Regions from separate parts of the Mus musculus genome. Here all the other regions are reported to be linked to region 1. Evidence: microRNA targets listed by miRTarBase, many of them from high-throughput screens and not tested one by one. Region 1 holds a microRNA gene; each other region holds the end of a gene's coding sequence.
What was found. Region 1 holds the annotated microRNA mmu-miR-25-3p (CAUUGCACUUGUCUCGGUCUGA, at 2,114-2,135, shown strand). A microRNA usually pairs through its seed, bases 2 to 8, with sites in the 3' UTR of a target mRNA and lowers its output. Matches are read on the target gene's strand: a 7mer-m8 pairs with bases 2 to 8, a 7mer-A1 pairs with bases 2 to 7 and ends in A, and an 8mer does both.

Region 2: miRTarBase lists Fbxw7 as a target of mmu-miR-25-3p. Seed matches in the 3' UTR shown: 7mer-m8 at 3,668-3,674 and 8mer at 2,364-2,371.
Region 3: miRTarBase lists Stk10 as a target of mmu-miR-25-3p. Seed matches in the 3' UTR shown: 7mer-A1 at 1,940-1,946 and 7mer-m8 at 3,151-3,157.
Region 4: miRTarBase lists Wwp2 as a target of mmu-miR-25-3p. Seed matches in the 3' UTR shown: 8mer at 2,302-2,309.

The regions. Positions count from the first base shown.
Region 1 is chr5:138,162,304-138,167,466 of GRCm38, reverse strand. Mir25 (microRNA 25) reads left to right here and starts at 2,063; the gene lies at 2,063-2,146. Cops6 (COP9 signalosome subunit 6) reads right to left here. Exons shown (of 10, transcript NM_012002.3): 5 at 5,083-5,145; 6 at 4,685-4,732; 7 at 4,223-4,337; 8 at 4,048-4,140; 9 at 3,858-3,958; 10 at 3,483-3,731. The coding sequence ends at 3,591. It overlaps Mcm7 (minichromosome maintenance complex component 7), which reads left to right. Exons shown (of 15, transcript NM_008568.3): 11 at 28-421; 12 at 701-784; 13 at 1,389-1,557; 14 at 2,306-2,415; 15 at 2,547-2,884. The coding sequence ends at 2,748. It overlaps Mir93 (microRNA 93), which reads left to right and starts at 1,857; the gene lies at 1,857-1,944. It also overlaps Mir106b.
Region 2 is chr3:84,976,379-84,981,541 of GRCm38, reverse strand. It overlaps Fbxw7 (F-box and WD-40 domain protein 7), which reads right to left. Exons shown (of 14, transcript NM_001177773.1): 13 at 5,158-5,163; 14 at 2,344-4,269. The coding sequence ends at 4,001. Among named protein-coding and RNA genes, the nearest start is that of Gm30944, 44 kb to the left of the region's middle.
Region 3 is chr11:32,621,202-32,626,364 of GRCm38, forward strand. Stk10 (serine/threonine kinase 10) reads left to right here. Exons shown (of 19, transcript NM_009288.2): 19 at 1,223-3,394. The coding sequence ends at 1,360. Among named protein-coding and RNA genes, the nearest start is that of Fbxw11, 19 kb to the right of the region's middle.
Region 4 is chr8:107,556,272-107,561,434 of GRCm38, forward strand. It overlaps Wwp2 (WW domain containing E3 ubiquitin protein ligase 2), which reads left to right. Exons shown (of 24, transcript NM_025830.4): 22 at 190-286; 23 at 441-513; 24 at 616-3,019. The coding sequence ends at 715. Among named protein-coding and RNA genes, the nearest start is that of Mir140, 7.6 kb to the left of the region's middle.

The sequences.
Region 1 (5,163 bases):
TCAGCAGTTTGCTCTTTATCTTTGCAGGTCAGTACACAACAGGCCGTGGCTCCTCTGGTGTAGGGCTCACAGCAGCTGTGTTGAGAGACTCTGTGAGTGGAGAACTGACTTTAGAGGGCGGTGCCCTGGTGCTGGCTGACCAGGGCGTGTGCTGCATTGATGAGTTTGACAAGATGGCCGAGGCTGACCGCACAGCCATCCATGAGGTTATGGAGCAGCAGACCATCTCCATCGCCAAGGCGGGGATTCTCACCACGCTCAATGCCCGATGCTCCATCCTGGCTGCGGCCAATCCTGCCTACGGCCGATATAATCCCCGCCGCAGTCTGGAGCAGAACGTCCAGCTTCCGGCTGCTCTGCTTTCTCGATTCGACCTCCTCTGGCTGATTCAAGACCGGCCCGACAGAGACAATGACCTCCGGTGAATGAAGTAGATGACACCCATAGAGACAGCCCATTTTAGTGACTTTGGGGCAGGGAGGTAAAATCAGAAAGCCACTCAACTTGTCTGTGTGCAGACACCTTAAACACCTTTCCTTGTTTGCAGTTCATATGGAGATAGGTTGGAGCTAAGATCTTGAGGGTTTTCTGGGAGGCCTGTCTGCCATGCTTTGGAGAAGAGGTGGTGCTAAAAGGGGATACTGAGTCAAGATTCTCAGGGTGTTAGAGCTCTAAAGACTGACGCCCGTCTTCTCTCCAGGTTGGCCCAGCACATCACCTATGTCCACCAGCACAGCCGGCAGCCCCCTGCCCAATTTGAACCTTTGGACATGAAACTTATGAGGTAGGAGGGGTGGAGATGGGTATGTCTGGGGAGAGTACTGGTCTGTGGCATTGTCTTATGCCAAGTGTGTCTGGAAAGCATTGAGTCTTGAAAGGACTCATCTGCTTATCTATTTCAGCCTCAAAAGTAGCTGAGCCTGGGTCTCTCTGTAGCCAAGGGATCATCAGAAACTTTTTTTCTGTTTTGGGATGACAGAGCAGCAGGCCTTATATAATCCTAGCTACTCTGAAACCTGAGTCATTTTGGGGATGTCTCCAAAAACTACTTCCCTCCTGTATATAAAGGAACCTCTCTCACTCTCTAAATCCTGTCCGAGGCAGGTCTAGCTTTTTGGCCATAAGTGCTTCCATGGCACAGATGACTCGGGTTTCTAAACTGGTTTTCACATGGTCTCTGAAGTCTGTCAAGGGGTTAAGTTAAATCCTCCCACTACAGGTGCTTTGGTAAATGTCATTCTCCTGAAAAGTTGGAAGTTACTTGAAGTGTCCTGGCAGCCCTGTTTTGGAGAAATCCCTCACTGTCCACGTCAGCATAGAATATTAAGTGGGGAATCTCATAAAGCCTGCCTGCTTTCCCGCTTTCCCATGAACCTTGTTTCCCACAGACGGTACATAGCCATGTGCCACGAGAGACAGCCCACAGTGCCTGAATCTCTGGCTGACTACATCACCGCAGCATATGTGGAGATGAGGCGAGAGGCCCGGGCCAGTAAGGATGCCACCTATACTTCTGCCCGGACCCTGCTGGCCATTCTCCGACTTTCCACTGCTCTGGTGAGTGGTGGGTCCCTGTCAGCTGGAAAGCTGACCCCTGCCTGCCACCTCACCTAATGACCCTCAAGCCGCCTCCTTCCCTCCTACCAGCCCTGCTGGGACTAAAGTGCTGACAGTGCAGATAGTGGTCCTCTCTGTGCTACCGCACTGTGGGTACTTGCTGCTCCAGCAGGGCACGTGCAACGCCCATGGAGGGAAAGGCTGCTTGCTGCTTGAATCCATGAGGGCTAGGACTTGAATTCCTGGTGTCCTAGATATGATCTTAGAAATCTCCATTCTGTCCTCCCCTCTTGGACCTTAGTCATGGGGGCTCCAAAGTGCTGTTCGTGCAGGTAGTGTAATTACCTGACCTACTGCTGAGCTAGCACTTCCCGAGCCCCCAGGACACAACCTCTGATAGTGGCCCTAGCTGAGCGCCCCAGGCTCCATTTGTTTGATGGGGAGCCTAGTGGAGTTCAGAAGGGTCTGGTCTCCCTCACAGGACAGCTGAACACCCACCGGGACTGGCCAGTGTTGAGAGGCGGAGACTTGGGCAATTGCTGGACGCTGCCCTGGGCATTGCACTTGTCTCGGTCTGACAGTGCCGGCCCAACACTGCAGATGTGGGGGGGCAGGGAGGAGTCCCCATTTTTGTTCAATGAGTAGGCAAATGTGGCTTGCCCAGGCTTGAAGCTGGAGCAAAGAAAGATCCTTGACTTCATTCCCCTCCTCCCCTCCTATCCCAATCTTTTCTATGCCTTCCCCTTAGGCTCGACTTCGGATGGTAGACATTGTGGAGAAGGAAGATGTAAATGAAGCCATAAGGTTGATGGAGATGTCGAAGGACTCCCTTCTAGGTGAAAAGGGACAGACAGCTAGGTGAGGATTTTAATGAAGAGTGAGACTGGACCACTGGGCTTATTGACCTGGCTTGCCCTCAGGGTTTTGATGCTGATTGCTGCTACTGTTTGTGGCCTTGCACCTTCACCTTTTCCATCCTTGTCTTTTAGGACCCAGAGGCCAGCAGATGTGATATTTGCCACCATCCGTGAATTGGTGTCACGGGGGCGGAGTGTCCACTTTTCTGAGGCTGAACAGCGCTGCATATCTCGTGGCTTCACACCAGCCCAGTTCCAGGCAGCTCTGGATGAATATGAGGAGCTAAATGTCTGGCAGGTTAATACTTCTCGGACACGGATCACCTTTGTCTGATAGCCAGTTTTTACACCCTCCTGCCTACACCAGAGGGCATGCTGAATGCCCCCTCAAGAAAAAATCTCATTCTCCCATGCTGCACTTTTTTATTCTGCCAATAAAGTGTTTTGATTGCCTCTTGCTTGTTAATAACTCTGTAGAGTTTTTAGTATGCTCTCTCCTCCCCTAGTCTCTAGTACTGACCCTTACTATGTGCTAGTCAATCTGGGAGATAGAAGGCCTTGGGACCACTGTTTCTTGAGATGCTTCCAATTATGGACATTTCGTTTGTTAGACCCCCACATCTAGACGTGATGACACCAGGATGTGAAGGGCAGAAAGTTGCGCCTAGCACAAGGTATGACTTAAGTGGAAGGCCTAAGGATGAGGTACATATCACCCTCCTAGGTACCTTCAGGATATAGAAAAACAAGGACTTGAGATAACCACAATTACAAAGATGGAATTCAGCTTCCCTCCCCTTCCTATTTGAGAAACATTTGCAGTGAAATTAAATTAGCCTGGGAAAGCAATCTTTCTGTGGAGCTGTGACATGAATTGATCACAGAGCACAAAAACTGGAAGCAAGCAGGTCGTCCTATCACATTTTGTCTACTTCAACAAGGGGTCACCTCGAGTCATTAAAAGGTGGGTAGGTGGTCAAAAAATGTGGATTAATGGGTGAAGCTTCCTTAAGAGTCCATGTTGAGAAACCAGTGTGGTGCCTGAGAGGACAAAGCCACTGGAAGGGCTGCTAAGGGGCTGCTCTTTTATTAATGAGTTTCTCTAAAGGGAATGTGGTACTCAGGTCCATGGAACAGCTGTCTGAGCCCCACACACCATCCCTTCCAGAACCATCATCAGAAAAACAGTCCCCGCATTCGCCGGCCAATGCCTTGTCGGTCGTAGAGGACGTTGAACTTGTTCACAAACTGGTTCATTGTGTTGCACGTTTTGGTGATGGTGCCGAGGTAGGCCATGAGCCCCACGTCATTGCATTGCTGGGAGGGAACACAAAGAACCAGTTCCCCAGGGGTCCCTCGTATTAGCCAGTGACACTTGAGTTTCACCTCCTACCTGTGAGGTGGTGTGAGCCCCACCTCCCCATCAAAGGTGTCAACACTCACATCATAAAAGTCTGTCTTGAACTTGTCAGTGCTGAGAACTGGAAGACAGTGACATAGGGCATAGGCCTCCCGCAGGATCTCATGGTTGAAGGGAACCTCTCCTAAGGACACAAGGAGGCTGCACTGATGTGGATGCTGTCACTTTTCCAGGAGAGGAAAAATGTTTCAAAGTGACAGGCACCTCTCCTACCTGCTTCAGAGGCCTTGACATATTCTAAAATGAGCTTCACACGGCTGTGCAGCATCTTGATGGCACTATGCTGAGCTATCAGGTGTTCAGCCACTGCAGGGGAATGGGGCAAATGAAGGGCGGCCTGTGGCCACACCCAACCCCTACCTCCAAAGACTGAATTCCCCTCCCTTACCAGTGGAGTTCTCCCCACTGCCTGTTGCTGTCATCCGGGCCACGTGGTCTACACCGATCCGTTCAGCTTCCTCAGTGGCCAGAGTGTAAGTGAGCTCAGCAAACAGCATTGTGGCCTGCAGAGTAAAGAGTTCTCAGATAGGGAGAGTCAGGAAACAGACCTAGGCCTAGGCAGATGGCTCAGCAGGTAGAGTACTTGCTGCACAACTGAGGATCTCAATTTAGAGCCTCGGAACCCACATTAAGTGAGATGTGACAGCATGTGACTGTAATCCTGGAACCCCTACAGCAAGATGGGAAGTGGAGACACAATTCCCAGAAGCTCACAGGCCAACCTGCCTGGCAAACAAGTGAGTCTGTCCCAAGGTAGAAAGCTAGGATGGACACCCAGGGTTGTCCTATGCCTGCACACGGCATGCAGGAAACAGGCTAAAAGGTTTGAAGGTTGCAGGTTATATATTACCTCTCCATTGATTATATCGATGACAGACTCAAAAACGCTGACAGGAAGCTGTAAAAACACAGACGGAGACAAGAGAACAGCTCTTACTAAAAGCAAATGCACTTGAACTTACACACATGCCAGGCTGGCTTTGAACTCACAATCCTGCCTCAATCTCCTGAGTGCTAAGATTGGTTACAAGTGTTGTCACCACACTTGGCTCATGCTTTCTCTAGGTTTTACACACATTACATATGGAAACACCACTGAAGAGATGAAGTCACACAACTGATGGGTGTAAACAGCAGGGTAGAGATTCAACTCAAGCTTTCTCTAATACACATAATGTCGGTAAATTAGAGCAAAGGCATAGTGGCAGATGATCAAGAAAAAGGGGACATTGGGTCAACAACACTCACATCTGTGTGCTTGGTCATAGGGTTCAACTTCAGAAAGAGCGGACTCTCAATTATCTCACACACCTAGAAGATAAGGCAAAG
Region 2 (5,163 bases), not on the chromosome of region 1:
TAGGTTTTGTTACAATGTTATAAAAACATAGTTACATAAAGCAGCAAATTCCTTCAGCAAAACTGATTTAAAAAACAAAACAAAACAAAAAAATCAACTACAGTCAACTCCTTACTTTCTTTACAATAAGACAAACACATTCTCTTTCAGGAACAGGTCCACTTTTTTTTTTTTTTTTTTTTTTTGACACATGGTCTTTTGTATCCCGAACTGAAGTAGAACTTGCCAGGGGTAACTGTTGTCTCAACTCTCTGAACGTTGGGGTTACAGCAGGAATCACAAGGGCTGGTTTATGCGGTGCTAGGGATTGAACCCAGGGCTTTATGCATGCTGGGCAAGCTCTCTACCAACATCCTCAAACCTTATATATTCCTAGAACGTTTAACACCCGAGTAGACACAGTGTCACTGTTAGGTGCTCAATATTAGTTTGTATTATATTTTTCTAAAACTGCAGAATCTATGTGACCTGACTTAAAGTAAATACACACATATAAATAAAAACTCAACATATATACCTATGCCACTTTCATTATATACCTGAATGAGCCATAAAAATAATTGTCAAATACAGAACATTACAATGACCTGGTCTGTTCTTTTCAAAACTGAAGTTGTGTGTGTGCATGACAGGGGCAGGTGTGGCATTCACATGCCATGGTGCATGTGGGGAAACCGAAGAATAACTTTTGAGAGTTGGTCCTCTCCTTCCATCATGGATCCTGGGGACAGACCTAAGGGCAGCAAGCCTGTGTACCATGCCATATTGCTAGCCCTGTGGGAGGTTTGTAACATTCCATCCAACCCTCATGGTAACCTTGGAGATGCTCTGTTCCACCTCTGAATGTGAGGACAGATGAGGTCGAATGATCAGAGATCTAGTAACTACCAGAAATGGGATGCTGATTATCTGCAAAGCCAGTTAGCTCTTATTTTCTGCCATGTTTTAAAGGTGGGTGTTTTCTTGAATTATACCGCAGTGCAGCAGCATCATATATGTGACCCTTTGAAAATATTAATTCCAAGAACTGTATCAGCCCATTATTTTTGTTGAGCAATGTCACCACTGTGAACAGCAGCAGTGGCTCTGGTATTCTCAGAGCTGCCACAGCCCGCAGAGTCTGCACCTGTGCCTTGCTCTCTGTCATGTAATACTCCAGTCTGCACTGTTGCATGTCCCATCTTTCTTACTGTGTGCTTGCTGAGGTCCAATGAACCAAAAGGAGTTCCTTCAACAGTGTGGAAGACAGTGCCTCTTTATGCTCAGGGTCCACTTTAAGATAGAGTGTGACTTAGCCTTTGAGCAGTGTCGCTGTGATAGTTTGTACATGCTTGGCCCACAAAGTGGCACCATTAGGAGGTGTGGCCTTGTTGGAGTAAGTGTCACTGTGGGCATGGGCTTTAAGGCCCTTGTCTTAGTTGCCTGGAAGCAAGTCTTCTCCTAGCAACCTTAGTTGAAGATGTAGACTCTCAGCTCCTCCTGCACCATGACTGTCTAGTCGCTGCCATGCTCCCACCTTGATGATAATGGACTGAACCTCTCTGAGCCTGCAAGCCAGCCCATTATAACGTTATCCTTATAAGAGTTGCCTTGGTCATGGTGTCTTTTCACAGCAGTGAAACCCTAACTAAGACAGTGGCTCTGTGAATAAAGAGGACAGATGCTGTGGCTATGAGAACCTCATTCTCTACAGAGAAAGACTCCATGTTTATTTAAGATTTATTTCCTATAGCCTGGGTTATTGAGATTATTAGAGATGTATGCCTTTCTAGCCTCTATAAAAGCAGAAGAGTAAATACTATAAAAAACAAAACAAGACAAGGCATTTCCCCTCAAACCTTGTTTTAGTTTGCTAGCATTTCATCAGAGGCAGCGTACACTCAGCCTTTGGGAACGAGTTCAATCCTGCCATCCCGCGACTTCATCTAAGGCACCACCTAAGCTGTCTGAGCTGAAGCTCTCAGGGCCATCTGAGTCAAAGGTGACAGAGGCTACTTCTCTCAGCCTGAGAGAAGAATGGTGCGAGTGCTTTGGTGAACACTTGGTATATGGGATTTGAAGGTGAACTCATTATTACAAGGCTTCTAGTTGTAATTCCAAGTTTTATGACTGAAGAAACGAGCTTTCATGTTCATACACACAATGCAAACAGAAGAGTGGCCTCCCTGACAGCTCGGGGTGCCATCTGCAGTGCCTCAGCTTTGGCTGAGCTCGGAAGTGCTGGTTTCTAAGTCACAATGCAGGGGATGTAAGAAACCCAAAACTTGACTATTTAAAATATCTGACACAAATACTATATAGTTATAATGAAACAGTATTATCTAGTGGAAGAAACAGGCGCAATAACATGAAAAAACACATTTTATTGCACTTAAGTTATAAGAAAATAAAATTTCTAAGTGAATCAAACCATAGACACAATCCCTTTACAGGTTGTTTCCTCCATCACGTCAGGTTGTTACATAACTAAAATTAACCAACTTGAATCTGATTGTTTTAAATCAGACTATAAATAAAACAAACAAAAAATAAACAGGAGGAGGAAAAAAAAGACGGCCTAGGATACAGTGTTAACCACTTTCACAGTTCAGCTTGAGTTACGGCTCCTGGTGAATGAGGCGGACCATCTGACTCCCGCTCTCTTGCTCGTCGAGCTGGTAGGCGAGTGACAGACAGCGTCACTGCAGAGCGAATTCCTCTCACGTCAGTCACTCAGAGCAATGAAACTGTAACAGTTGTTTTCCCCAATACTGTAAGATGCTACGACTGACCAGCAACCTCCTTTTCCTTTGTGTTTTATATATCTTTAAAATATCTTGTCAGTTTTGCTATGTATGTTCTTCCATTCACCACAGCCCTCAAAAAGAAGTTTCTCCACAGAACAGGCACCTCAGGCTCTGTCCCAAGGAATGTGTTTTAATTTTTGCCCAGATAAAAGAAAATAAGCTTTGCACACACTCTCAATTCTTTATTTGCAGGCAAACTTCACTCTTTATTATCTGAAACTTTTCCATTCTCAGCCTCTTAGAGGCACAGATGGCTCAAGTTTCAGTGGCAAAAAAGTCTTTTTTTTCTGTAACCAAACTAGAGCAAATTTGGAATTCAGTCTGGGACTAAAACGTCACAGCAGAAAAAAAATAAAAAAAAAATAATTTGCTTTTTCTTTCTTTCATTTAGCAGCATAAATAAGTTTGGCCACTGGGAGTACAGTACAGGGGTGGGACAACGACCCCGGATTTGAAGACCTACTTCTAGCACCAGCATCAAGAATTATATCCATCTCAGGACTCACACAACCCAGGACAACTTGCCACCTTTGAGCAACATATGCATTGAAGAGTAGAAGCAACAGTAAAGAGATAGATTAACAGAGGCTAATACTGTGATTGATTGACATTGGCAATGGTTGGCAAAAAAAAAAAAGAAAAAAGAAAAGAAGAGAAACAGGAAAAAGAGAAAAAAGAAAGCTTCATGATAACTGTACAAAAACAATTCACAGTAATTGTTTTAAGCTTTTCCACTTCAGAAAAATGACGGTTTGTTGCAGATGCTCTGATTAGAAGATAAGCAGCCCGTGTTTGGATATTACTGCCACTCCTTTCTAGGTGACGGTAACAACGCTGATGTAGCTCTGCTCAATGACCACTGGAGAAGAAAACAAAGAATAATTGCACCTGGTTGGATTTAGAGAGTCGTCTTGCCAAGCTGCCCCTCAGTCACAAGTGAGGCCTTTGCGAGATGCGACAGCTGCCGCCTCCTGTCAGTTACGGTCTCTTGTCTCTTCTTGCCTTCTTAGTCTGTAGGTCTTTTCAGTCTGTTGTCCCAAGCCAACATCCTGCACCACTGAGTACAAGGGATTTTTTTCCTTTTCTTTTTTCTCTTTTTTTTTTTCTGTTTTTTTTTTTCATTTTTTTGTTTGTTTGTTTTTGTTTTTTGCGCAGGGGGAAGGGTAGGGAGTATATTGTCTACACAGTTGGACAAAATTCATCATGTCTGCTTTTCATTTCATGTCCACATCAAAGTCCAGCACCAGGAGCTTGGTTTCCTCAGTTCCATTCCGACTCCCGACTGCACACACCAGCTTTGTGTTTGAGGCCCTGATCCGCCACACAACTCCCCCGCTCCCCCCACTCTCCAATGTGACGAGGTTTCGGATAAATTCACCCGTTTTCAAGTCCCAGAGTTTGACCGTTCCGTCGTCTGAGCTGGTAATTACGAAGTTCTTGTTGAACTGTAAGCAGGTCACAGCGCTCTGATGCTTGCTGGGACCTAGGCAAAGGCAAATGCGGGTTACTGCTTAGGAAGGACGTTCAGGGCTTCTGCGTGGGACTTGTGCTCTTCTACATTATGGCATACAAGAAATGCAGTATTTAAAAAGCTGCACAGTTAGCAACCTTGCTGTAGTTTAGGACCAGCTTAGATGTAAGGAAATCTGGTGGCTATGTAACTACAGTACCAAGTCTCAAGAGCTCCGGCTCCCAGTGGCCCTGGTCAGCCAGTGTACACATTCCACTGCTGGAAAAGGGAACGTGCAGGTTTGTCACTCTGTCACTCTGCCACACTGAACTGATCAGTCAAAGAAGGAAATAGAATTTGTGACTACCCCAAACTCCTAGGAACAGTCACAATTAATGAACAAAGGCTGCTATGTGCTGCCTCCTGATGGCTTCACTCCAAACAAACAAACAAACAAACAACAACAACACCTTCTAAGGGCTGTGACTAAGAGAAGGAAGTTACTCATGGAGAAGCCAATGGTGCTATACCTAATGCTAATGCTTCTCACTCTACCTTCCCCTCAGAGAGCACCATTACTCCTTCCATTCCGACTGAAGGAATTGACCAAGCAAGGCCAAAGTCATTTCCTATCAGAGATGCTTCAATTCAAAATAAAATGATCACTCAAAAAGAACGCTGCCCTATGAGACAGCCATGTTAAACAGAGTCAACAGAACACACAGGAAATGATTAAGAATTTTCACATTAAAGACACAATTGAAAACCATTTCTCAAGGTGGCTTACTTTTGAAAGCCAAACATTCACAAACTCATCAGGAGTAAGTACTCTGCATAAGGTTAAACCTCTGTTCTCCACAGGTTCTCTCTTGAATAGCAATGATGTTTTTAAAGATAGGCTAACAGAGGGCCAGGACTTACCTTGCA
Region 3 (5,163 bases), not on the chromosome of region 1:
TGGGACATCTTGAACTTTTGGAGTGGATATGCTCAACTATTCCTAGCTTTGAAATTGGGCGACTTACTAAACCACCCTGTGTCTAAACAATAGCAGAACTATGAGCAACACCTCCATCTGAACCCCAGGGGGTCACACACTGGATTCCTGGGGGGGTTCACAGATCCCATACTGGACCCCTGGGGCTCATACACTAGATCCCAGGGGCTCACATACTAGATCCCTGGGGGCTCACACACTGGATCCCAGGGGTTCACACACTAGATCCCAGGGAGCTCACACACTAGATCCCAGGGGCTCACACACTGGTCTCCTGGGGGCTCACACACTAGACCCCTGGGGGCTCACACACTGGATCCCAAGGGCTCACACACTGGATCCCAGAGGCTCACACACTGGTCTCCTGGGCAGTTTGGTTTATATTTGTATCACTGAGCCAGTATAGTAATTTTCAGGGTTTTGGGGTTCTTTTTGTTTTTTATTTTGAGACAGGGTTTCTCTGTGTAGCCCTGGTTGCCCCGAGACTCCCTCTGTAGACCAGGCTGGCCTTGAACTCACAAATCTACCTATTTCCGAGTCTCAAGCAAAGGTATGCGCCTCTGCCACCACAACTCACCAGGCTTGGTTTGTCTAATTGCCAACCTGAAGTGAAAATTTTACATAAATCCCAATCCAGTTTCCCCTCCCACATGGTGCCTGATCTTGTCTAAGGGCCCATGCTCTCCTGGCTCTTCAACTTCCCTTGTGAGCTGGCACTCCTGATCCCGTGCTCTTGGGAAGTCTTCCTGATAGGATCGTGTTTATCTGGATAGATGAGCATGTGCCCAACGGAAGCTCCTGTGCTGCTGCCAGCTGGAAAGCACCCCTCCCATTACCTGAGGAGCTCAGACCCTCAGAGGGACAGGCACACACCCTCCCGCAGGCAGTGGGTGTCCTGACTGGGGGTGAGCACTGTCACTTGGCCATCTCTTTCTTCTGCTAGATCCTCCCCTCTGGCTCTTCTTTATCCATCCTGCTCTTTCCCCATCACGGGAGTCCTGCCTGTACCTCTCGCCCCTTAACAGGCGGTTCCCCAGGATTGGCCCTGGGCCATGAGCAGTTCAGGAAGGCGTGTGGCAGGTGGAAGGGGTGCTTACCTCAGGGAGCTGTCCAGAGCAGGACATGCTGTTCTGATTGGAATCGTTGGCATCCCGCTGAATACCATCTGCTCTCGCTTCCCCAGGCCCTGGAAGAGGATTTGAACCAGAAGAAGCGGGAACAGGAAATGTTCTTCAAATTAAGCGAGGAGGCAGAGCCCAGACCCACCACACCCAGCAAAGCCAGCAACTTCTTCCCCTACAGCTCTGGGGATGCTTCCTAACACCCACAAGCCTGGGCTGCGGTGGGCAGCGTGGCTACTGGGGCCCCCAAGCCTCTATGAACAAGTGACTCAGGACCTCTTCCTCTTGCTTCTGTGCCAGCTCAATTACCCATCCCCCTGCAGCGCCCCAGTTGTCCACAGTGCCACCTTGGTGCACGGTGACCTCCTCAAGACTCAGATTCCCATCACCTAGGAGTGATTTAGACTGTTGAGGTCAGGGGCCAGGCAGGATGGGTGAACCCCTCCTGTTTGCCCAAACACCAGCTCTACTGTCTGTGGGCACAAGCGCTACTAATGACATCACCGCGAACGCATCCTTATTGTGATCCTTGTGGGTTTTTTGTTTGTTTGTCTGTTTGTTTGTTTGCCTTCAGTAATTCCTCACAGTGTCGGGAAACATCCCTAAGAGCCACTTGGGTTCTCAGCAGCCAGCTCCCGGGTGTCCCCATTCCCTTGTTTCACATAGCTGACTTTGCTTTGTGTATGTCGGGGTAGGGAGCGTGGAGAAGGATGCCAGAGATGCCTGTTCTGCTGATTCTGACATTGTATCCCATCTTATTTTCCTCTCCCTGTGAGACATGCAATACACACACACACACACACACACACACACACACACACACACACACACACACACACTGCAAATACATAACTTGGCCCCCCTGACACCACCCAGGCTGCCTCTGCTGTGACCTCCTAGGACCAATGCATTGGAACCTGCTTGCTTGCCTCCTGAGCCTGATCCAGGGCCACTGAGCATGTCAGGTGGAGCAGCTGGTGGGGCCATGCTGAGTGCTGGCGCCAGAACCCAGAGAAGGCACAGGCTGTACTGCCAGCCTGCAACTCATTTGGCTGCACACAGGATCCCGTGTTCAGGGGTACACCCCCCTCCACACTTGACTTCTGCTGCCTAGCACGTGCCAATCTCACCCTTGCCCGCTTGTCTGCAGGTACCCAGGAAGGCTTTTGACTTCTGCCCTAGTCCTGTACTGGAGTCCCACTGTACATTTCCACTAAGCTTTGGACTTCTCTGTTCAGGAAGAACTGTTCCCCACCCTCAGGAACATGCTGCGCTCAGGGAAATGTGGAGCCTCCATGACTGGGCCTTCGGGCTGCTCAGGTAGCCTCCCAAGAGGCTGAGCCCCATAGAAGAAAAGCAGCCTAAGTGCTCAGTTACAGTACAGGCAAATGGCTGGCTGCCTCAGACACCCTCTTTTTAAAAAGCCCCTTCCCAGGGACAATGGGGTGGGGTGGGGGAGGGGGGACCCAGGCGGTTGAGTCTGGCGAGTGGCTGAGACCTTAGCAGTATTTCTCTGTCACTGCCCGATGCTGAAGCAACTTTCTAAAAAGTTTCCTCAAATGAAAACTGGGTGCTTGGGAGGGAGTGGGCTAGAAAAAAAATAGGAAAACAGGTCTTGGGACTCCCAGATCTAGTGTGCAGTAAAGAAGCTCACAGAACCCCAGGAAGGCCATAGTTCTCAGGGGAGCGAGTGAGCCTTCGCTTGCTTTCAGGCCTCACATCAAGGAGTTGACTCAGAGGGCAGATGGGCCAGGCCACGCCACAGGAGGCCGGGCAGGGATACTTGCTTTCAGGGGACTTGACAGTGGCTATTAGGCAAAATGCTAGTTTTGTGGTTCATATAACAGTCTTTGACCGCTCCCTGACATCATTCGTAATGTTCCAGTCCTTTGTTGAATCTGCACTTAGTACCACCTGAGCCCTGGTAGCTCTGCTGTGCCTTTTGGAGTGGGGTCTAGCCTAGTCTTCCAGCCTCATAATTATAGCGTAAGTGCAATGCCTGCCACCACCAAGGGCCCACGCAGTATTCCTCATGCCCTGTGCTAATCTTTTCTGTATAGGAACAGGCAGAAGTGTTTTTAGCGCAGTAAATATAACTAACTTATATTTCCCTTCATGAAGGATGGAAATAACGTGTATGCATTTCCAAGCACCGTGGATATTTGTAAACTGTTCTCTGCAAACAAAAAAAGAATGTAAATATGCTTCTAATAAAGTAATAAGGTGATTTGCAAGCACTGTTGTTCTTTCTGGTTGGAAAGAGAAGATAGGTGGGCCTCCTGTGCTTGCTCAGCAAGGAAGGGCTTATCCTCTGAGTATGTGAGAGCCTCCTCCATCAGGCAGCAGGTCAGACTCTGGGGTTTCTGATGGAACCCCAAAGAGAGAGGAAAGAGACCATATTCTCTCTGGCCATTTAATATCATTCCGATTCAAAGACAAACATTGGTTAACAAACACCCCCAGATTTTGTATGTTAATGGACTGAATTTTTTCCATAACTCTGATAAGAAAGTAGATTTTGCGCAGAGCCCAAATCTCAGGACACGGCCGAGGGACACCCATGGAATTCAACCCTGGAGTTTGTCCCCCTGATGGTGCTACCACACCTCTCTCCAGCTGCCACTTCTTGCCATCAATGCTGTATCTTAAAAGAATTTTCCAGGACAGACTTAACATGGTGGTTGAATGCCCTAGCTTGTACATGGGTCTGGGCTCTGTCTCTGATTCTAGGGGGACAAATAGAAATATAGTTTACATTTGTCTGACTGTACCTCTCAAAACATTGCTTGTGTTCTTACCCTGGGGTCCACGGGTAGAATTGGGGGTATCTCTGCATTTGTTTGTCAAAAGATGTGGTCTTTAGTTTTCCTGCCTGAAATTGAGTGTTTTCCTTCTTAGTGGAGGTGGCAACAACCCCAGAGGTATCAGTGGGGCTTGTAACTGTCACCCAGGGAAACCAACGGCGTTCCACACTACACCATTTTTTCCTCATTTTTAAATCATAGTGACTCAACCTGCATTGTTAGGTCCAGTTGGTTGTGTCCATGCATATGTCTTATTAACTGTGTAGCTACAGTTTTCCGAAGTCATTGGTAGCCGGGCAGTGGTGGCACATGCCTTTAATCCCAGCACTTGGGAGGCAGAGGCAGGCAGATTTCTGAGTTCAAGGCCAGCCTGGTCTACAGAGTGAGTTCTAAGACAGCCAGGACTACACAAAGAGGCCCTGTCTCAGAAAAACAAAAAACAAAAACGAAAAAAAGAAAAAACCAAAAATAAAAAAACAATTAAAAAAAATTTTTTTTTAAAGATACCTATTTATCCTGATGGTCAGTTTCATTTGTAATCAACATAATAACCTCATTGTCACAGGTTTCAAAAATATTACTTTGAGAAGGACTTCATAGACATTGTGGAATACCAAAGGACTTCACAGAACAGAAAACAAAACCAGTCTGCTTTTGCTTAGCACCTTGCTGCTGTTGCCCTGGAAGTCTCGTGACCAGCAGAGGGCAGGCCATGGCCATGGTGCTGCACAGCCTCTGGACTCAGGCTGTTGGTGTGGCTGCAGCTTCCACTGATGAGTACTTACTGTCTGGGGGATGTAAATCAGCAGGCAGCCAGCATGATTGCCATTAAGAGCTAGAAAAGTGAGTTTCCAAGAATTCAGGAGACTGGCAGCCTCCCACCCCCAGGGCATTAGGAGATGAGGATGACTTGGGAAATGAAATCATCCTATGTTAATTGACTCCTCTCAAAGCAACCATCATTGGAATGAGTGATTCCTGGATGCTGTCTTCAGCATGCTCACCCTAATGGAGACAGAGACGTGGGAAAGCAGCACCTGTGCAGACTGACACCGCCTGGGGACTCAGAACACCCCCTAAGAGAGCCACCCTGTGTCGGAGGGCAAACAGGTCTATTCCAGAATGACATGCACTAAGGCTGGCCAGAGTAGATGGCTTATCAGCATAAGGCTAGAGAGAGGTTGGGCCGAACAAGGATG
Region 4 (5,163 bases), not on the chromosome of region 1:
GACAGGGAGTGGAGGGATGACAGACCCAGGTATCCCATGGGACCCTTATGAATGTTCTACAAATATCCTTAGAGAAAGCATCTTTGAAGGTCCCAGATTGGTGTCTGTGTGTGTCGAGTTGGCCTGGAAAGGTCCGTGCTAGGGTCTGAAGTCTGACTGGGGACGTCTGTCTGTCTTGTGGACCTCCAGGTTGTCAAGGAGATGGACAATGAGAAGAGGATCCGGCTACTGCAGTTTGTCACGGGAACCTGCCGTCTGCCTGTTGGGGGATTTGCTGAGCTCATCGGTGCGTTTCCTTCTGCCCTTCTGGGGCCCTCCCTGGGGGAGGGACAGCATGGGGCAAGTGCAGCTGGAGCTGGGAGGGAAAGAGCTGTGGCACTTGGTTACTTTGGGAAAGACCATCTGTGTTGACACAAAGTACACGTTGCCTTGAATGACAGGGAGCAATGGCCCGCAGAAGTTCTGCATCGACAGAGTTGGCAAGGAAACCTGGCTGCCCAGGAGCCATACGTGGTGAGTTTGCCGGGAGCTGGCAGGCTGGAGCTGTAGGCTGGTGGGGGCAGGGCACCAGAGCCCTGGCCTCCTCCCGGGGCTACTCCTCTCTCTCTGTCACAGCTTCAACCGTCTGGACCTGCCTCCCTATAAGAGCTACGAGCAGCTGAAAGAGAAGCTGCTGTACGCCATCGAGGAGACTGAGGGGTTCGGACAGGAGTAGCTGAGGCTGCTGTCTCACACCCTCTAGCACATGTAGTCCTGAGTCCTTCCTGCCGGAGATGCCACCGGTTGCACAGCCCTCAAGAGGCCCCTTTGGATAGTGGCCCTGCACGAGACTGTGCCTTGATCATTTCGGTGACTGAAGAGTCTGACCCCAGAGGCCTTGGGGACCCTTTCTTCTCTCTGATGATGGCAGTCTGGAATAAAGCACTGTCACCTTTGACTCTATTACCTGTTGCAAAGCCAGAGGGCTGCCCTTCTCTGCAAAACTGCCCCTTCCACTAGGACTGAGTCTGGGTGTGTGTGAGAGTGTGAGGGAACATGCCCTGCCTTAGAGGGCTGCCACTGAAGCTGGGCCTCATATGTTCCATGAGGAGCTAGGCCTCGTGGAATGGCTGGCTGACTAAACCCAGAAAGCCAAGGCTCTGCCAGTGGAAGAGACTTCACTTTTGTAGACCTTCCCTGAAGTCCATGGAACAGACCTAAGGGAACAACTGAGCATCAAAACCGGCTTTGCTTTACTTCCTGGCAGGCTGCAGCCAAGGGGACTGAGCAGCAGGCACCCAATGCCACCAGCTCGTCTCTTCCTAGCAAGCAAAGGGTTAAAGAAGCCACCACCTGGGTGTCAGTGGGAAGGAGACAGCAGAGCTCAGGCTTTGCCCTTTGACAGAAACCTAAAGACACATCCACATCCATGCATAGGGCTGTTGCTTGTTGTGTTGTAGGCATGCTCTTCTCACCTTCTGTCAAGGACCTGGTGCCCTGGGTGGTGGAGGGCTCAGCCCTCTTGATTCAGTAGCTTCCCAAGCAGCTGCTCCTCTCAGGAGCCTGCTTAACACTTGCGCCAGCTCAGAGGCCTGCCTCTATGGTCCAGTGCATCCCCGCTGTGCTCAGATGCTGACGAGACTCCTTTGCTAGACTCCCCTAGTTAGGGCCTCTGCAGCTTATGGTGGCTTAAAATGGAGAGAGCATCTTGCCTGGCCGAGTGTTTGTGCTATGTGAGCATGAGGCTTTATTTGACTGTGGAAGAAGACACTAAGAGCCAGCAGAAGGGCCTGAGCTGCCTCATTAGCCTGGCTTCATTTGGGGAGCTCCTGACAGTGTCCCGAGTAGGTGCCCAGCCCCTCTTGGGTACCAGAGTGGTTATAGCGACACACTCCTCATCCAGGCTTCCCAAGATACACTAGCTCTGGGACACCCCAGGCATGCTCTCAAACTAGTCATGGGGCCTTCTGAGGACAGTTCCATCCTACCTTTGTCCTTCCCTGGTACAGCCTGTGACCCTGGCACACTGCACATGCTGATCTGAGTGGCTCTGCTCACTGTCGCACACCCCTTCCTCTCCCATGCAGTCACCTCAGGACTCCCGACATACATCACAAAGGCTGCTTCATGGCTGGGTGTGGGACCAGATGCCAGCAAGGATGGAAGCATCAGGCTCACAGGTGTGTGTGTGTGTGTGCACGCGTTCGCACATGCGTGAGTGTGTAGCAGAAGTGTGTACAGAGAGGCCCGTGCTAGCTAGCACCAAGTTGGTTGACAGATTGTTTTGTGATGCTTGCCCTGCCTCGGTATTGCCAGTTTCTTGTGCAATAAAGAATCAGCAGCCATGGGTGGTGTCAGTGTAGCTGTTTATACACATTCTGTTGCAGGAAGAGTCTTCCATTCCCACAGGTCCTCTAGAATCTCCAGACCAAGAGAATCTCCACAACAATAGTGCTCCAGCCTTGCTGCCTTTGCGAGTTTGAGTACCAGTAACCAAGGTAGCCTGACTTCTGGAATAGATGGTAGTCCTTCTAGCTGAGGCGAGTGACCTCTGGTCACGGTGTCATACTCTCTCTACACCGGTTGTGCATTTTGGAACAGGAGAGCTGAGATTTGGGTAGGGCTGCCATCCATTCAGGAAATGGCTCAGGTTGCATGAGCCCATGACAAGGGGTTCCCTGATGCTGAATTCAGGGTCATACCTTTCTTACCACTCAATTGTTTTGACTGGTGAGGCTTCAAAGATGGAGCTGGGTATGGTAACACATGCTTACAATCCTAGCATTTAGAAAGCTGAGGTGGTTTTCTTTTAAACTAATTCAGTAAGTAAATTATCTTTGTGTGGCAGCCATGTTTAATCCACAGTTCAAGTATGTTAGTTTGAAAAGGGCACTTTGAAGCTATTCCCATGAATCAGTGGCAGTAGGAAAAGTTCTCTTTTTTTGTGTGTCTCATTTCAGTTTTTAGTTTAAAATTATTATTGTCCTTTTTTTGTTTATCTTGAAGCTTAATAAAATGGCACATAATTAGGACATTTTAAGCATTTTTGACATTTATATAAAAGAATTTCTGATAAGGTTAATATATCCAGGTGTTCACCAAAGAAACATGGATGTAATATACACGTAATTTTTTGTAACTGATCTGTTCTTGCTCATTTATAATCAGTAGAAGCAACTGTCTAGATACTGGGGCAGCCCTGATTTGAGTCTGTAACTTATAATTTAATTCAGTACCCTAGTTTCATATTATGCCATTAGGATTTTCTTGATAAGGAGTTATTCCCTTGTTTCTCTCTGAGCAGCGTCTGGACCCTGAGCTCCCTTTGCAGACTGAAGGCACTGCAGTCAGACCATGTACTGCTGATAAAGCCTCTGGTAGCAATAAAATGCTGTCCTTAAACAAACAAAAAAAGAAAGAAAGAAAGCTGAGGTGGGAGGACTGCTTCAAGTTTGAGGCTAGGCTACACAGAATGCCCCTGCCTCAGTAAATAAATACAAAAGACAGAAGGGAGTAGATAGGGCGCAGTAGTTAAGAGTGTTTATGTCTTGCAGAGGACCCTGGTTAAGTTCTCAGCATCCACATAGTGCTCGACATCTATTACTGAAGTTCCAAGGGATATATGGCCCTCTTTTGATCTCTACAGGCACCACACACACACACACACACGATGCACATACATACATGCAGACAAAACATACTTGTATCAAAAGAGTTTTTTAAAGCCAAACATGCATGAGCTAGACCACCATCGGATGCCTAGATATCAAATGACTCCCACGTTCTGTGTTGATTCCAGGAGACAGAGACTGGCTGCCTTGCAGTTTTACTGACCAGTTCACCTCTGTCAGTTCCAAAGCCTTCTCCCTTTCTCATTCCCCCACCCCCGTCTTATTTTGGGGCGTGAGGACTTAAAAACAGGTCTGTGTTCTAGCTAAGTACACAAAACCTAGCTCTTTGCCCTTCCAAAGGGTTCTTTTCCCACTTGCTGAGGAAACATTATATTTTGATAAAATTATGAGGAACTTTCACCTGATACACAAAAGTTTCATAGTAAAGTTTTTGTTGTTTTGTTTTCTTGAGATAGGATCACACTATATAGCCTGGCTGTCTGGGAACTCACTATGTAGACCAGGGTAGTGCCAAACTCCACAGCATTCTGCCTCTATGGTGCCAAGCTGTTGAGTGACTTCTTTCATTAATGAGATGTGGGTGGCACTTCTCATGTTGGTCACCATGGGTTTCATTCCTTCACTGTCACGTGTCATTCATACCGTGAATGTTCTGTAGCAGACCCATTGCATTCCTGAGGTGAGCTGCGCGCTGATGGTCCAGCCGCTTGCCAGTGTCTGCGTAGCTTTGTCCTATGACCTCAGGCGGGCCCCTAGGAGACACTCCTGGAAGCTAGATTGGTGTGCACAGGAGGGTTTCTTAGGTTTTGAGACAGTTCTTGCCGTGAGGCACAGCTTGGGGCTTGATCCTCTTGCTCTGTCCCAACCACTGGGATAGCAGACACACAAACACACACATACACCCATACCCAAGCACACTTTTGTTTTAAAAATGTAAAATGTTCAAATTCAGACACACAAATGGTCTGTGCCCAAAGGTCCCCAACACTCTTTGGTCCCTCAGCCATTTTGGTCCCAGTCAGTTGCTTTCAGTACTGGAGCTATTCAGACCTGTCACCACACCAGCAACTCCCCATTGTTAGGTCTCAGGCCCTCCAGATGACTTCTGGTGGAGAAATGAAAACCTCTGGGACTTGTGAAATGAGTGTTCCACCCTCAAAGGTTGTCCCTCGCCACAGCTACTCTTCGTACTTAGAACCCTCCCGACGTGTGCTCTCAGTATTTTCTAGTCTCTGCTCTCTGGTGTGCACTCTCTCTCCCTTCCCCTCTCCTCTCCACCTTCCCCACCACCCCACTACCACCACCCCCACCCCACCCCCGTGCCTTCTCTCCTGCTTCCTAACTCTGGCCATGTCCCATCTGCTTTCATTTCTTCCCAGATGCTTTCTAATCGTCTTTAATGGAGAGGTCACGTCAGCAGTTTCTTTACTGTGCCCCACACACACTCGTGACCTCGTCAGGCATGGGCTACAGTGTCTGGTTTCCCTTTCCTGTCTTCCGATTACCCTTACTTACGCTGTGTAGCAGCACGTTATAAATGCTTCCCGTTTCC